Linked DNA regions of Coturnix japonica. The protein of the gene in region 1 interacts with the protein of each later gene in a pairwise test. Links are inferred from orthologs where the notes say so. Each region holds a gene or a part of one and is shown in the gene's direction. Other genes may lie near its edges.

Evidence for each region.
Region 2: the proteins of COPS5 (region 1) and MAP2K2 interact in a two-hybrid assay, tested with the Homo sapiens proteins (2 studies listed by BioGRID and IntAct). The link is inferred for Coturnix japonica from reciprocal best matches to the Homo sapiens genes COPS5 and MAP2K2.
Region 3: the proteins of COPS5 (region 1) and PPP1CC interact in a two-hybrid assay, tested with the Homo sapiens proteins (2 studies listed by BioGRID and IntAct). The link is inferred for Coturnix japonica from reciprocal best matches to the Homo sapiens genes COPS5 and PPP1CC.

What each region holds. Positions count from the first base shown.
Region 1 is NC_029517.1:104,436,271-104,440,547, reverse strand, and holds the start of COPS5 (COP9 signalosome complex subunit 5), read left to right. Parts: upstream 1-1,421; 5' UTR 1,422-1,788; coding exon 1,789-1,943; intron 1,944-2,055; coding exon 2,056-2,290; intron 2,291-4,277. UniProt on the Homo sapiens protein: Probable protease subunit of the COP9 signalosome complex (CSN), a complex involved in various cellular and developmental processes.
Region 2 is NC_029543.1:1,719,425-1,723,725, forward strand, and holds the start of MAP2K2 (dual specificity mitogen-activated protein kinase kinase 2), read left to right. Parts: upstream 1-1,358; 5' UTR 1,359-1,373; coding exon 1,374-1,684; intron 1,685-2,864; coding exon 2,865-3,129; intron 3,130-4,301. UniProt on the Homo sapiens protein: Catalyzes the concomitant phosphorylation of a threonine and a tyrosine residue in a Thr-Glu-Tyr sequence located in MAP kinases. Activates the ERK1 and ERK2 MAP kinases.
Region 3 is NC_029530.1:5,190,923-5,195,267, reverse strand, and holds the start of PPP1CC (serine/threonine-protein phosphatase PP1-gamma catalytic subunit), read left to right. Parts: upstream 1-1,402; 5' UTR 1,403-1,642; coding exon 1,643-1,697; intron 1,698-4,345. UniProt on the Homo sapiens protein: Protein phosphatase that associates with over 200 regulatory proteins to form highly specific holoenzymes which dephosphorylate hundreds of biological targets.

The sequences.
Region 1 (4,277 bases):
GGAGAATAGCAGAACTAGGGCATCCTATTTGCAAGCCCTACTGGTAACACGGGACAGTCAGTTCCAAAAATAAATTCCCCATCTGATTTGTGCTAAAGCTTTAATCTCATTACTTTTGGACGGTGATAACAGATCAAAGGTATCTATAAGATGGTAAGATTTCAGGCACCGATGTGTTTCGTTGAGCCTATTAAGTTACATAAGAATAATAAAATGCCTGTTCTGAGTGAATAACCTGTCATGGTGATCAACTTAAAGAATTGGTGGCATCAGCTACACAGTGCAGCACCCACAGCAGGGAAAATCCCTGCATGAAGGACTGCAAGTTTCATCAGACAAGAGAAAATGGCTTATTATACTGCTGCCCAGATTTACCTGTCAACATAAAAAACTTAAGTGCTACATAAAACAGTACGATGTTGGCTTAGCAATGTGTCAGAACGAATGGTGTGAATGACCAGACCCTTGCAATCATTCCTATTGATGGCAGCAGGTTCTAAACCAGGCTTGCTTAATCGCATACTGCAGGCAATGCAAAGCACAGAGAAAAAGCCATGCTCAAATGCCAGAGATACAGACGCTGGACCTACACCCAAACACAATTAATAATGCATGTCTCCATTCTCGAGACATTCAAACCACCTATTTGTATACACGGTCAGTATATTGGAAAGAGCATCATACATCTCTTTCATTACCTCGGGGAACATTCAGTGCATTCCTTTTTACCCTTTCCCTTGTATTTCTTCAAGGAAGCAATGCATAGGATCTAAAATCAGCACTTGTGATCAGACACGCTATATGCTGTGCTATCATAATTCTAAATATCCAGAAAACTTGGCAGATGGCAATTTTCCTCCACGGAGACTGTAGCAGGGGTGGCAGGGGAGTGAAGTGCTTCAAGAAGCTCCTACACGCCACGTTCAGTAACTGCACTTACAGGCACGCCCACAATTAACTAAAACAGTATGACTTTTCCTAACTGTGAAGGCAGCCATCCATCAAAACACCAAGCCAATGAGTTCTGAGTCATCTCCTCTCACCCTAAGACTTCATTTAGGATTCCAGTCCACCTCCTCTGACCCAAAACCTAATTAATCTGAGGAATCCCTCAGGGACGGCTCACATTTATTTCCCCATAAGCGAACCCCCTCCGCCTCCTCAGACTGCTCCCGGAGCGGGGCGGGGCGGAGGCCCGGCCCCTCACAGCAGCGTTACTCCGTTGTTAGGCAACGGCCGTGCAACAAGCGGCTCCCGCACAACGCCCCACCGCCCCCACCGGGCACACAGGGCACACAGAGGCCAGGCCAGGCCAGGCCAGGCCCCGTTCCCCCGTTCCCCCGTTCCCCGCTCCCCGCACCGCCTGCCGGGCCCATCCCGTTCCCCGCCGCTCAGCCCCGCGGAAGACAGCGAGGCCGCCCGCTCGCAGCCCGGGGCGGACGCTCGACCTCCGCTCTGCGGAGCCGGGAATGGGGCAAAACGGAGCGAGGCAGCACCGAGCGCTGACCCGCCCGCACCGCCGCTCACCGGCACACACAGCCCCGTCCGCCTCCCGCGCCGGTCGCCACCTCCCCGGAAGCCGGCGGGCGGCTTTCTGCCGTCCCGGAGCTCATTCTCGCTAGCGCCGCCTGTCGCCGCGGAGGACCCGGCCCGGCCGCTTGGCCTCCACCTCCCGGCTTCCCCGGGCCTGCGCGGACCGCAGCAGCTCCCCGTTCCGCCCGGCGAGTCGCGGCCTGGCTCGGGCCGCTGCGGCTGCGGAGGGGTTGGGCGGAGCGGGCGCGGGGCGCGATGGCGGCGGCGAGCGGCTCGTCCGGGAGCGGGATGGCGCAGAAGACGTGGGAGCTGGCCAACAACATGCAGGAGGCGCAGAGCATCGACGAGATCTACAAGTACGACCGCAAGCAGCAGCAGGAGATCCTGGCGGCCAAACCCTGGACTAAGGAGTGAGAGCGGGGCCGTGGGGCGGGCGGGAGAGCGGGCGGCGGGGCCGGGGGTTGAGGCGAGGCGAGGCGAGGAGAGGCCCTGAGCGCTAAATCGGCCTCTGTCCCGCCGCAGCCACCATTACTTCAAGTACTGCAAGATCTCGGCGCTGGCCCTGCTGAAGATGGTGATGCACGCCCGCTCGGGGGGCAACCTGGAGGTGATGGGGCTGATGCTGGGCAAGGTGGACGGGGAGACCATGATCATCATGGACAGCTTCGCTCTGCCGGTGGAGGGCACCGAGACCCGCGTCAACGCGCAGGCGGCCGCCTACGAGTACATGGCCGCCTACATCGAGAACGCCAAGCAGGTATGCTGCGGTGGGGGGGATATGGCGTTGCTCTTAACTTCTTGCTTTTGGAAGTCTTAAGTCTGAAAGTGCAGTAAAATTCTCAATTGCGGAGGGAGGGTGGTCCTCCCTCTCTGCCCCAGTAATGCCACAGCTGAAGTATTCTGTCCAGTTCTGGGCTCCTCCGTTCAAGAAAGACAGGGAGCTTCTGGAGAGAGTCCTGCAGAGCGCCACTAAGATATGAGGGTTCTGGAGCATCTCCTGCATGAGGAAAGGCTGAGAGAGCTGGGACTGTTCAGCCTGGAGAAGGCTGAGGGATCTCATTACTGTTTATAAATATCTAAAGTGTAGGAGTCAAGTGGACACAGCCAGACTCCTTTCAGTGGTATGCAGCAACAGAATAAGAAGCAACAAAACAAATCTGCAACACAGGAAGTTCCATACAAACAGAAGGAAGAACTTTATCATCAGAGTGATGGTGCCCTGGAACAAGCTGCCCAGAGGGGTTGTGGAATCTCCTCTGAAGATATTCAGAACCTGCTTGATGTTTTCCTCTGACCCACTATAGGCAATCTGCTTTTAGCAGAGGGGTTGGGCTAGATGGTTATCCCCAGAAGTCCCTTCCAATCCATACAACTATGTGATTCTGTGAAATATTAATCTGCTCTGTGGCTGATGCAGAAGCTGACATGGCATATGAGCACTTGCTGGCTCAAATAAGCACTGGAATCCCTCAGACTGTCCAAGCTCAAATAGTTTGAGGCCTAGTTTACCCTTTGATTTGTCATTAATCCTTAAAGTATTTTAACTCAGCTGAAATTAGAGGGTCCTTACATAGTGTAGATAAAGGTACAACTATTTAGGTTATTTTGGAGAGGTGTCACAGCTTTCTGTGGGTTTAAGGACATTTAACTAAATTAGGTTGGATCGTGACTTCAGAAGAGAGTAAATACAGCCCAAAGGTAAGGATGTTCTAAGGCCTGTGGTGGGTTTTTTTGTTGTTTTTCGTTAACTTATCACGCTTCTTTATGAGAAAATTTCTAAGTGATCTATTTAACGTATTACTTTAATATATTATTACTTATATTATTATTACTTTAATATATTATTAAAGTAATGATTTATTGTATTCTTACTGAAAAGTATAGAAAATGAAAGGGTGTTTATATCTGAAGATACGTTTGTACTACCCAGTTCTTAGGTAGAAAAATTGTCTTAAGTATAGAGCATGGCATCGGTATTTACATGTACGGTTAGTTCATTTGACTTTTAGAACAGCCCAGGTTTATATGGGAGAATTCATGATACGAAAATAAAGCAAAAACAATAACTCAGCTTTACTGGAGCTCTGACAGTGCGTCCTGGCTGCTTCACATCTGAGGTTGGAAAGCACTTTGTCCTGGAGTAACTCTTTTTAATGTTAGATTACATGTTGATAATAAGAGCACTCTGCATAAGTGCTCTACAGAAGCTAATGTTGCAATTACTTGCTCCTCCATAGGCAGGATCTGATGATAAAATAGTTAAAAGAAAAATGTTATTTGTTTCAACGACTCAAATGTTCAGTTGGGTAGATCGTGTGTTCTGTCCCTCTTAATAGTTTCCAGATTTAACCTTCCTGGTATGCTCAGTATTTGGCAAAACCAAGCAGCTGAATGCATTGAACACACTGCCATGTAGGATGTACATAAATCCTTTCACTCAATATTGATCAGCCAGTACACAGTTCTTGGCCAGTTACAATAAACTAGGTGCGCTGGCTGTTTATTCACCGTGATTAACAATCAATTTTGATTGGTTTTGTTTGTTTGTTTGGGGTACTTGCTGAGATATCCCGGAGTATTATTTGGGAACTTCTTTTATAGTTAAGCAAAATAAAGTGCATGTTGAATATTTCAAGTTAGCATACAGGCTGTGTATATTCTTTTTATCCTCTTGCTGCGTTGTAGTGTGCTGGAAGGCTCAGTAGAGGGCAGCCCATGCTTTACGAATGAGGATCATCACTGGA
Region 2 (4,301 bases), on another chromosome or scaffold:
AGCCTCAGCTCAGATCTTCTTTCTGATCCTGTCTAGCATATGTGACAACTGGGAAGATCAGGTTAATCATTTAGTGTGGCAAATGAACCCCAAGAAAGGTCTCCACCTCTACTCCAATCCCAAAGACTCCCAAAGAATACCAACCAGTTGGTTGACTGACCAGCAATATGGAGGAGGTGGCCAAAAGGCAGATCAAAACAGCTGAGCTGTTTGTTGGCCAACTGACAAACTGATTAACCAAACCACCAACCCACTGACCGACTGACCACTCGCTTAACCTCCCACCCAAACCACCCAGCCCACCATCCAACCGACCTCCCATTCTATAGAGCATTGACTCAAGGCTTCTTTGAGCTGGGTTTGAGTTTGGCTGTCATTAATGGGACATTTAGCCAACCAGCTTGGGATAAAAGGGGAAACTACACCCTATGGTCCTCCCATTGACACCAGCAGCCCCATTGCTGACAATAGGGCCCTATTGAGCCAGGACATACCTGTGTGAGATCCCAACTCCAATGGGGAACCCTCAGATCCGTCCTGGCCTCTGAATTCCCTTTGGTGTGCAAGACACCGAGCCTGGCCACCTCCTCCTTTGCGATGCCCTGACCCGAGTGGCAAAGTTTAAACTCCAACAACACATAAACAGTGACCAAGATTGCAAAATCACCCGTGTCCTGATTGGGGCCGCCAATATGCAATGGCAAAGGGAAGGCCCTTGGGTGCTCCGTAACTTATTAGCCAAATGGTTTTGTCCTCCTATGCCGAGCGGGGCAGGAGGGGCCTGGGCTGATGGGCGAAGTCCAGGCTCTGTAAGTGCCCATGAACTTTCCCCCACTTTGGGGGTAATATTTCCCTTTTTCAGCTGAGTGCATCAGCATTAATCACACCCTATAGGCGTTGTGATGTCTGGGGAAGACGTTGACTTGGATTCAACCATATGCTGCTTCTCTATAATATGTGTTAATCCCCACTGATGTTCACGATCCTTATGGGCTCAGCTGTGCCTCAGTTTCCCTATGGATCAATGGGATGAGGGGTTCACTGCCTGCCATATCCCTCTCCCTCCTATGATGATGGTGGGTATCTCACATTGCCTCACCCTCCTATGGTGATGGTGGGTATCTCACATTGCCTCACCCTGCTATGATGATGGTGGGTATCTTATATTGCAGCTGGGGGTTATGGCTTTGGATGGCCATGTCCAGATCCCAGCATAACCCACCCTATAGATCCCTATGGTGCATGACACAGCCAGCCCCCACCTCTCCCTCGTGCCCAGTGAGCTTATGACCACGCTGCGTGCCACGGGTACAAGGCTACAACATCAGGCTTATCTCCTGCACAACGCACTATGTCCAGGAGGGACCTGTAGGATGGAGGGCACCTCCTTCACGCCTCATTTTATGGCCCAACAGCGGAGACGGGAACTCCTTGCACCGAGCAAAGTCCATCCCCTCCTCCCTACCACCACCCTGCCACCACGCTGCGCTCCCGGCGGTCACCACCAGGGGGCGCTGCAGCCCCCACCCCCCTATTGGTTCCGCCCCTTTGACTTGATGCTCCGCCCCGCTCGGCCCGCAGGCGCGGCCCGGCCATGCCGGCCAAGAGGAAGCCGGTGTTACCGGCCCTCACCATCACCCCCAGCCCCATTGAGGGACCAGGGCCTGGAGGATCCGCAGAGTGAGTGAGTGGTGGTGGGGGACCCGTCCGGACCCTGCCGTGTTGGGAGAGTTAAGGGTTGGGGGTGTGTTGGGCCTGGGGGTTGAACGGGGAATGGGGTTGGGATGGGGTTGGGATGGGGTCTGCTTGGATGGGGGCTGTATGGGAAATGGGGCTGGGTATAGAGTGATCTCGTACTCAGTTGGGATGGGATGAAGTGGGGAAGGGCCGGGGGGAGCAGGGCTGGGCAATGGGGGGAGGGGAGGAGGACAGAGCACATGGGGGGTGAAGGAGAGGGGGTCTTTGGGGCTGGGGGGGGGCGAGAGGGAGGGGTGGCGGTCTTGGGACTGTGGGAGGGAGATAAGGAGAAGGGTCGTTGGGGCACTGGGGGGGCACAGGGACGGTGTGGGGGTGCGTTGGGTGAGGGGGAGAGGAGGGGGTGTTGTGTGGCTGGGGAGGGAGAAAGAGAATGGGTTTTGGGGGCTGGGGGGGGAGGAGAGGTGGGTCATATGGGGTCTGGGGAGGGAGGGAAGGAGAGAGGGGTTTTTGGGGGGCTGGGGGGATAAAGGAGGTAGGGGGGGTTCGTTGTGCGGCTTTAGGGAGTGGGGAGAGGAGGGGTGGTCGTTTGGGTTGGGAGGGAGGGAAGGGGGGGTCGTTGGGGCTGGGGAGGGAAAGGAGAGGCGTGAGGGGGTCTTTGGTGCTGCGGGGGGTGAAAGGAGGGTGGGCGGTTCGTTGGGCTGGTGGGTGGGAAGAAAAGGAGGGGGGGTTCGTGGGACGGCTTGGGGGGGGTAGGAAGAGGGGGTCTTTGGGGCTGGGGGGGAGAGGAGGGGGTCGTTGGGGCTGGGGGGAAGGGGGGGTCGTTGGGGCTGGGAGAAGAAGGGATGGGGGGTGGTCGTTGGGGCTGCAGGGAGCCCTTCCTGACCCACTGCCCTGGGTGGGGGTTGGGGCAGCAAATGTTAGAGGATGGTTGGAGTGTGTGTGTGTGGAGCAGGTGTTGGGGAACACAGGATCCCCTTTGTGTTCGGCTGTGGGTAGAGCAGGGGGCTGGTGGGTATGTGGAGAGCTGTTGTGATTCATTGAGAAGGCCAAGCGTGGCTTTCCATGTTAGGAGAGGTTGGCCCTTAACTATAACAGGGGTTTGGGCTGAGTTCGTGTGGGATGGGGCTTCTGTTCCCTTATGAGCCGTGTTTTGCCCCTGCCGACAGAGGACAGGCTTTCTCAGGACCCCCACAGACTGATGCCCCCATCATCTCCTGCAGGGCTAACCTGGTGGACCTACAGAAGAAGCTGGAGGAGCTGGAGTTGGATGAGCAGCAGAAGAAGCGTTTGGAAGCTTTCCTCACTCAGAAAGCTAAAGTGGGAGAGCTGAAGGATGATGACTTTGAGAGGATCTCCGAGCTGGGGGCTGGCAATGGTGGTGTGGTCACCAAAGTGCAACATAAACCTTCGGGGCTCATTATGGCACGGAAGGTAAGGGGGCAGGAGATGCATTGATAGGGAGCAGGGTCCAACCAGGCTGTCTGTACTGCTCCACCTGCATGTAAAGCACCTGAGTTGGCACTAATGTACAGAGCCTTAATTTCTATAAGCTTTCTGGCTGCTCTGCCTGGCTGTGGGCCATCTCCTGGGAGGGGAAGTCTGCATCACAACAGGTCACAGGGTTTTGCAATGCCTGCTGTGAGAACATGAGTTCGTTCTTTTACCAGGAAATGGGGTTTCTGAGGGTGATGGCTAACGAGGGCTCAGTGTTGGCAGCAGGTAGAGAGATGCATGGCTGACCCTGCACGCACCTGAGTTTAGCATGCACACATCCCTTGCTTAATAGTTCCTAGCAGCCTTGTGAACCTGGCCTGACAGCTGTTTCTCTCTGAGGTCGGCTTATGGGAGATGTCTTTTACTGCAGTGTCTTGTAATAGAGAAACAGGAGATGCTTTGTCTGCCTATTAGAAAAGGCAGTGCTCGCTGAAGGCAATACAATTGTTTATATATAGGACAGCTTCCTTGGAAGACCTGCTGTGGGGATGACTTAGTGAGTATCATGAACTAATACGTTTTCCAGGTGGCTTTGCTTGGAGTGGGGCTCTGTGAGTCCTCCACTGGGGCATTATTTTGTAATTAGATGGTTTTGAGATCATTGGGAGTGCTGTGTTCAGAACCTTGCCTGGGTGTCCTAGAGCTTATACTAACAGCAGCTGCTTTCTAACCTGCCATGTTTCCTAGACTTCATGGCTTCCCTTCCACAGCTGTTAGCTGCCTCTGTGTGGAGCCCAAGGAATAAAGCATTTACCCTTTCACGTGCACAAGCATGTGAATGTGTTGGTTGGTTTTTTTCCTTCACTTCATGTAGTTTCCTTGATATAAGAGCAGCTGTTCTCACAACACCTACAAAGCTTGTGAAAATGTCCACGTTGCTGAGTCAGATCTGCAGCCAGCTTCTGACTTTTCCTTTCTATTCCATGTCCTGGGTGATCTCAATGTATTACACAGGCTTGTAGGTGCTGCACTTGCTAACAGGCTGCACAGCTTGACTCTTTATCCTCAGTTTTGAAAGCATTTCCCTTTCTTTCCAATGCTCACACTTGCTTGTTCACGTGCTTCCTGTAAGGTTGGTTTTTGTTTCCTTTAGGCATTACACCCTTTTC
Region 3 (4,345 bases), on another chromosome or scaffold:
GGTGCAGCGGTGATGAGGAGTGCAGAGAGCCCTGTGAATGCATCCGACTGCTCTTGTCTTGGGATGAGGCTTCTCTGGGCTTCTACATGTGGCTGAGTCCCTGCTGAGCAAAGCCCAGGCTGTGCAGAAAGCCCTGAGCTCCAGGGAGCTGCCTACCTGCAGCGTGTGTGTTTTGCTGATCCTCACACTGCACGTTTTGTAAATAAAACATGACACTAAGAAAACACCTGACTCTGCATCATCACCTCCCTCCAAACAGAATACAAACCCCTACATCTCCAGATCAGCCTTGTGGCTTTGTCCATCTGCTCTTCAGTCTGACCAACGACTGTTACAACCCACAAACTCTGCAAGGTCTGAAATGTGGGGGTAAGCAAAATAGTTCAGACACCAGAGGCAAAAAAGCAGACATCAAAAGTTGATCTGGACTGTAGCAGGCTGATATCCAGACACACGCAGCAGGAGTTAGGAAAACACTGAGCATCTAGATAGGAAAAACAACATTTGACCCTCACATCACACCTCCTTTGTTTTCCCAGTGTTGAACAGTCTGTGTAGGTCTTTGAAATGTACACAGACACACTGAGTTGAACAGACCTAGGAAATATGTAATGTGAAGCAAGGGGAAGCGTGGGCAACTTGCATTTCTTAGGATCCACCTACATACAGGAATTAAATAAGGAGCTTTTCATCACTAGCTGCATATATATACATGTGTATGTGTGTATGCACAGGGTATGTACGTACATTATACATGCAGTATGTGTGTGGTTTGGGTATTATGTATATGTATGTACAGGTGAATGAAATGTTCTTTATTTCAATACTGACTGTAGGTGGGCATTACGTATATAATACTTATGTTTTTATACATGGCCAGATTATGAGCAGCTGTACAATAAACCACATCCTTCGTGCCCTCACAGTGTGAACTCTGCTCTCTGCAATGGTGGTTATGTAACCATCGATGTGAGGTGTGTGTGCAGCTGCTGTGGGGAGGAGGGATGGAGATGCTAGGCCAGGAGTTAATGAAGCAATTAAACAACATTCAGAGATGCAACTTGAATGTCCTGAGTGGTGAATGTGCCTTGAAACTCAACACAACGCCTCGCCTCATGCAGGAGGGTGCCACGATGGGGCGTGCAGACACAGCACCATGGGGTGAGGGTCCAGGACCACAGGATCAGGCTCCAGTGGTCACAGCGGTGGGATCTCGGTGGTGTCCGCCTTGTTTGGGGTCCAGGAGGCGGTGTTATATGGGCAGAACACACACCCCTCGTGGGCACTATTTCTCCACCCTTCGGCGGAAGGATCCCGACACCAGCCGCAGTGCGCACTTCGCTCCGCCGCGCGCTTCCCGCCCGCCTATAAAAGGGTTCGTGCGCCGCCTTGCGCTCGTGGTATCCATCCGCTCCCCCGAGCTCGCTGAGGAGACGGCCGCCATTTTGTTCCGCGCCGGAGCTGCGCTGAGAGCGGCAGAGAAAGAGGGAGGGCGGGGGGGAAGAAAGAGAGCGGGTAGGAGAAAGGACACGGGGAGAGCACGACGAGACGACGAGAGAGGAGAGGAGCCGGGTCAGCCGAGCAGCCAGCGGAGGGAGGGAGGGAAGCGGCGGGGAGGGGTCCGCCTGGCCGCTGAGAGGCGATGGCGGATATAGACAAGCTGAACATCGACAGCATCATCCAACGGCTGCTGGAGGGTGAGGGGCGAGGGGAGGGGACGGGGGTCGGGATGGGGTGGTCGGGACGGGGCCGCGTGTGGAGCCGGCACTGGGGGTGGGGGGGGCTGTGCTTTGTCCTCAGCCCACAGAGCAATGAGTGCCCTGAGGAATGAAAGGGAGACACGGCGGGGTTGGGGCAGGATGGTTTGTTAAGGGAACTGAGCGGTTTTCTAAAGGATTTGAGGAAAAAGAGGGTTATTTTTGGGGTGAGCTGCCCTGATCCGGCCTCGTTCCTTGTTGTGTCTCAGGGCGGGCACCTCGCGCTTGAGGAGCTTCATGGGGTTTAACGTGTTTCCATCCGGCTCCGAGTCATGTAGGTGCTGATGAGACGAACGGGAAATGGCTTTCAGCAGTGCCGTGGTTTTTCAGCGAGAGGACGGCGGTGCTGCTGGAACCACAGGGACTGAAAATCCGATGGGTGTATTATGGGATTACTGAGCTAGAATAAGTAAAAGTAAATAGGGCTTTTGCTGTGATCCGTTGCGGGCTGTGCCTGTTACCAATTTAAACTACCCCGGCTTAAATTATTTAAAGGCTTCCCTTTGTAAATTTAGACCAGGATTTTCCTGAAACTCTAGTAGCACACTTTGTGCTGTCGGGTCCTGTATGTCTTACATCTGCCGACATTAATAAGCGTTCACTTTTACTGCAGGTAATAGTTTATAATTCTTACCTGGTCTGCTCTAATGTAACTAATGCAGTTTTCCCGGATCAGGTCATTACAAACAATGAATAGGATGGAGCAGAAGGAAATGCAGTTGGTTTTGAACAATTCTTCTTGTTTTAAAGTTTAAAAAGGGGCAAGATGTGCTACACCAATAGGTTCTTACCCAGCTTGTACCCGTGTTACACATATAGAGGGGATGGGAGTTGGTCATTCAGGGCTTTCAGACTGACACAGAGGTGGATGTGTACCATTAAAGATGGTAAAGATCCTAAAGATCCCATTACTGGAGGTTGCATCAGCTGCCAAGACTGAAATTAAATGTTTTGGCTTTATTGATGTTTCATTTGGGATTTTGGATCCTATGAAGCCGTAATGGTTTTTCAGTGTTTAAAATGATTACCACCTGTGCTGATATGCATCTTTATTGCGTATTAAATGCCTGTTGTAAACATTTCTCTCAGGCAGTGATGGTTGACCTTTGTGGCAGCCTTTTCTTTTTCCACTTCTCCAAAGGACAAAGTGATGCTGTGTTTTAGCAGGTGCTGCGTTGTGGATAGATGGATAAATGGTGTGAGTAGCTGTGAGCATCGTTCTCTGTGGTTGTTTAAAATCTGACTCAGCCTTGCCCTGGAATTACGAAGGTACAGTTAGGTTGGTGGTGGGACTGAACTTCTACAGGGCAGATCTACATGGTGTTAAGTGGGGAAGGGGGGGAAATCAGGTCTGGAGTATGTGCAGGGTTTGTCATCCTATTTAATTTGGAATAAATGAGGAATAATTTCTGTCTTACCTGGCATTCTTTTCAGTGTAGTGCTGGCACACAACTGGATGCAGTTAGTGCCTTGAAGCCTGATGGATGTGTTTCAATTGATAGGCTTTCAAACAAGGTGGCACTCAGGTTGTTGCAATTGCAGTCAAGTATTTCAGTGTTGTTGTTCTTAAAATGTATACTTACCTAAAATATATAATTGTACTATTAAAATCAAAGGATATGAGCAGCTAATATGGCATTATCCCTTCTTCCTTTTAAAGGTCAGGGGAAAAAAGATGCATTCTGGAGATAGGTGATGAAATACTCAAATCAGTGTGAGCAGACAGTTGTGCCTGTGTCCTATAAGGCACCTTAGTGCTGTGCTGGGTGTAGTCTGATGGCCTAGGTAAAGCAAAGTGCTTAAATGGTTAATCATAATTATTCTTGCTTTTGTTCCTAATGTAGGGCATCAATAATTGATTTGTCATTGGGTTTTTATGTGCTTTCTATCATGACTTCATGAAATTTGAGGTAATTATACAGATCAAGTGACTTCCCTCCAAGTAGCTGATACAGTCTCACCTGCCATAGGGTAGATAGCTAATTATTAAATCAGTCTTTAAAAAAATCTAGATATATTTATATATTCAGCTTCTTAATCTGAAGTGAATATTTGGTGAGTCCTTCTTGCTCCCAATGTTTGTAGCATAGAGGTGTTAGGCTTTGAGGCATCACAAAAAGCCTTTCTCAGTAACATTGTGCTCAGCCTCAGTGAGCAGGTTGATGGAAGCACTGGGCAAACTAATGAGGGCTGTGTTCTGTTAGGAACAGTTTGTCTGGTTTGGGGGCTTTTAGTAACTTTCCTAACAACAGTTTTCTCAAGAATAAGGCTTTTAAAGCTTTACTAAATGACAGTATCCAGCAGTGAGTATTGAAATGTTTCCTAAGTGTGCTTGATGGTGGGTAAAGGCTCGTATCTTTATGACTGAGGAATAACAAGGGGCAACCCTAAGAGCACATTACTGTCCTTCCAGGAATACAGTAGGCAGTGACTGCATGGCTCTGAGCTTACAGCTTTGTGTGTCTGTTAAACTGAAGCTGCAGGTAATGTGAACAATCAGCATCATCTGCACAGTAGTGGAAAGGCTCCTTGGATGTGGTGGAGTTTGGCCATGGACAAAGGATGAGTGAAAAGAAATCCTGAGGTCA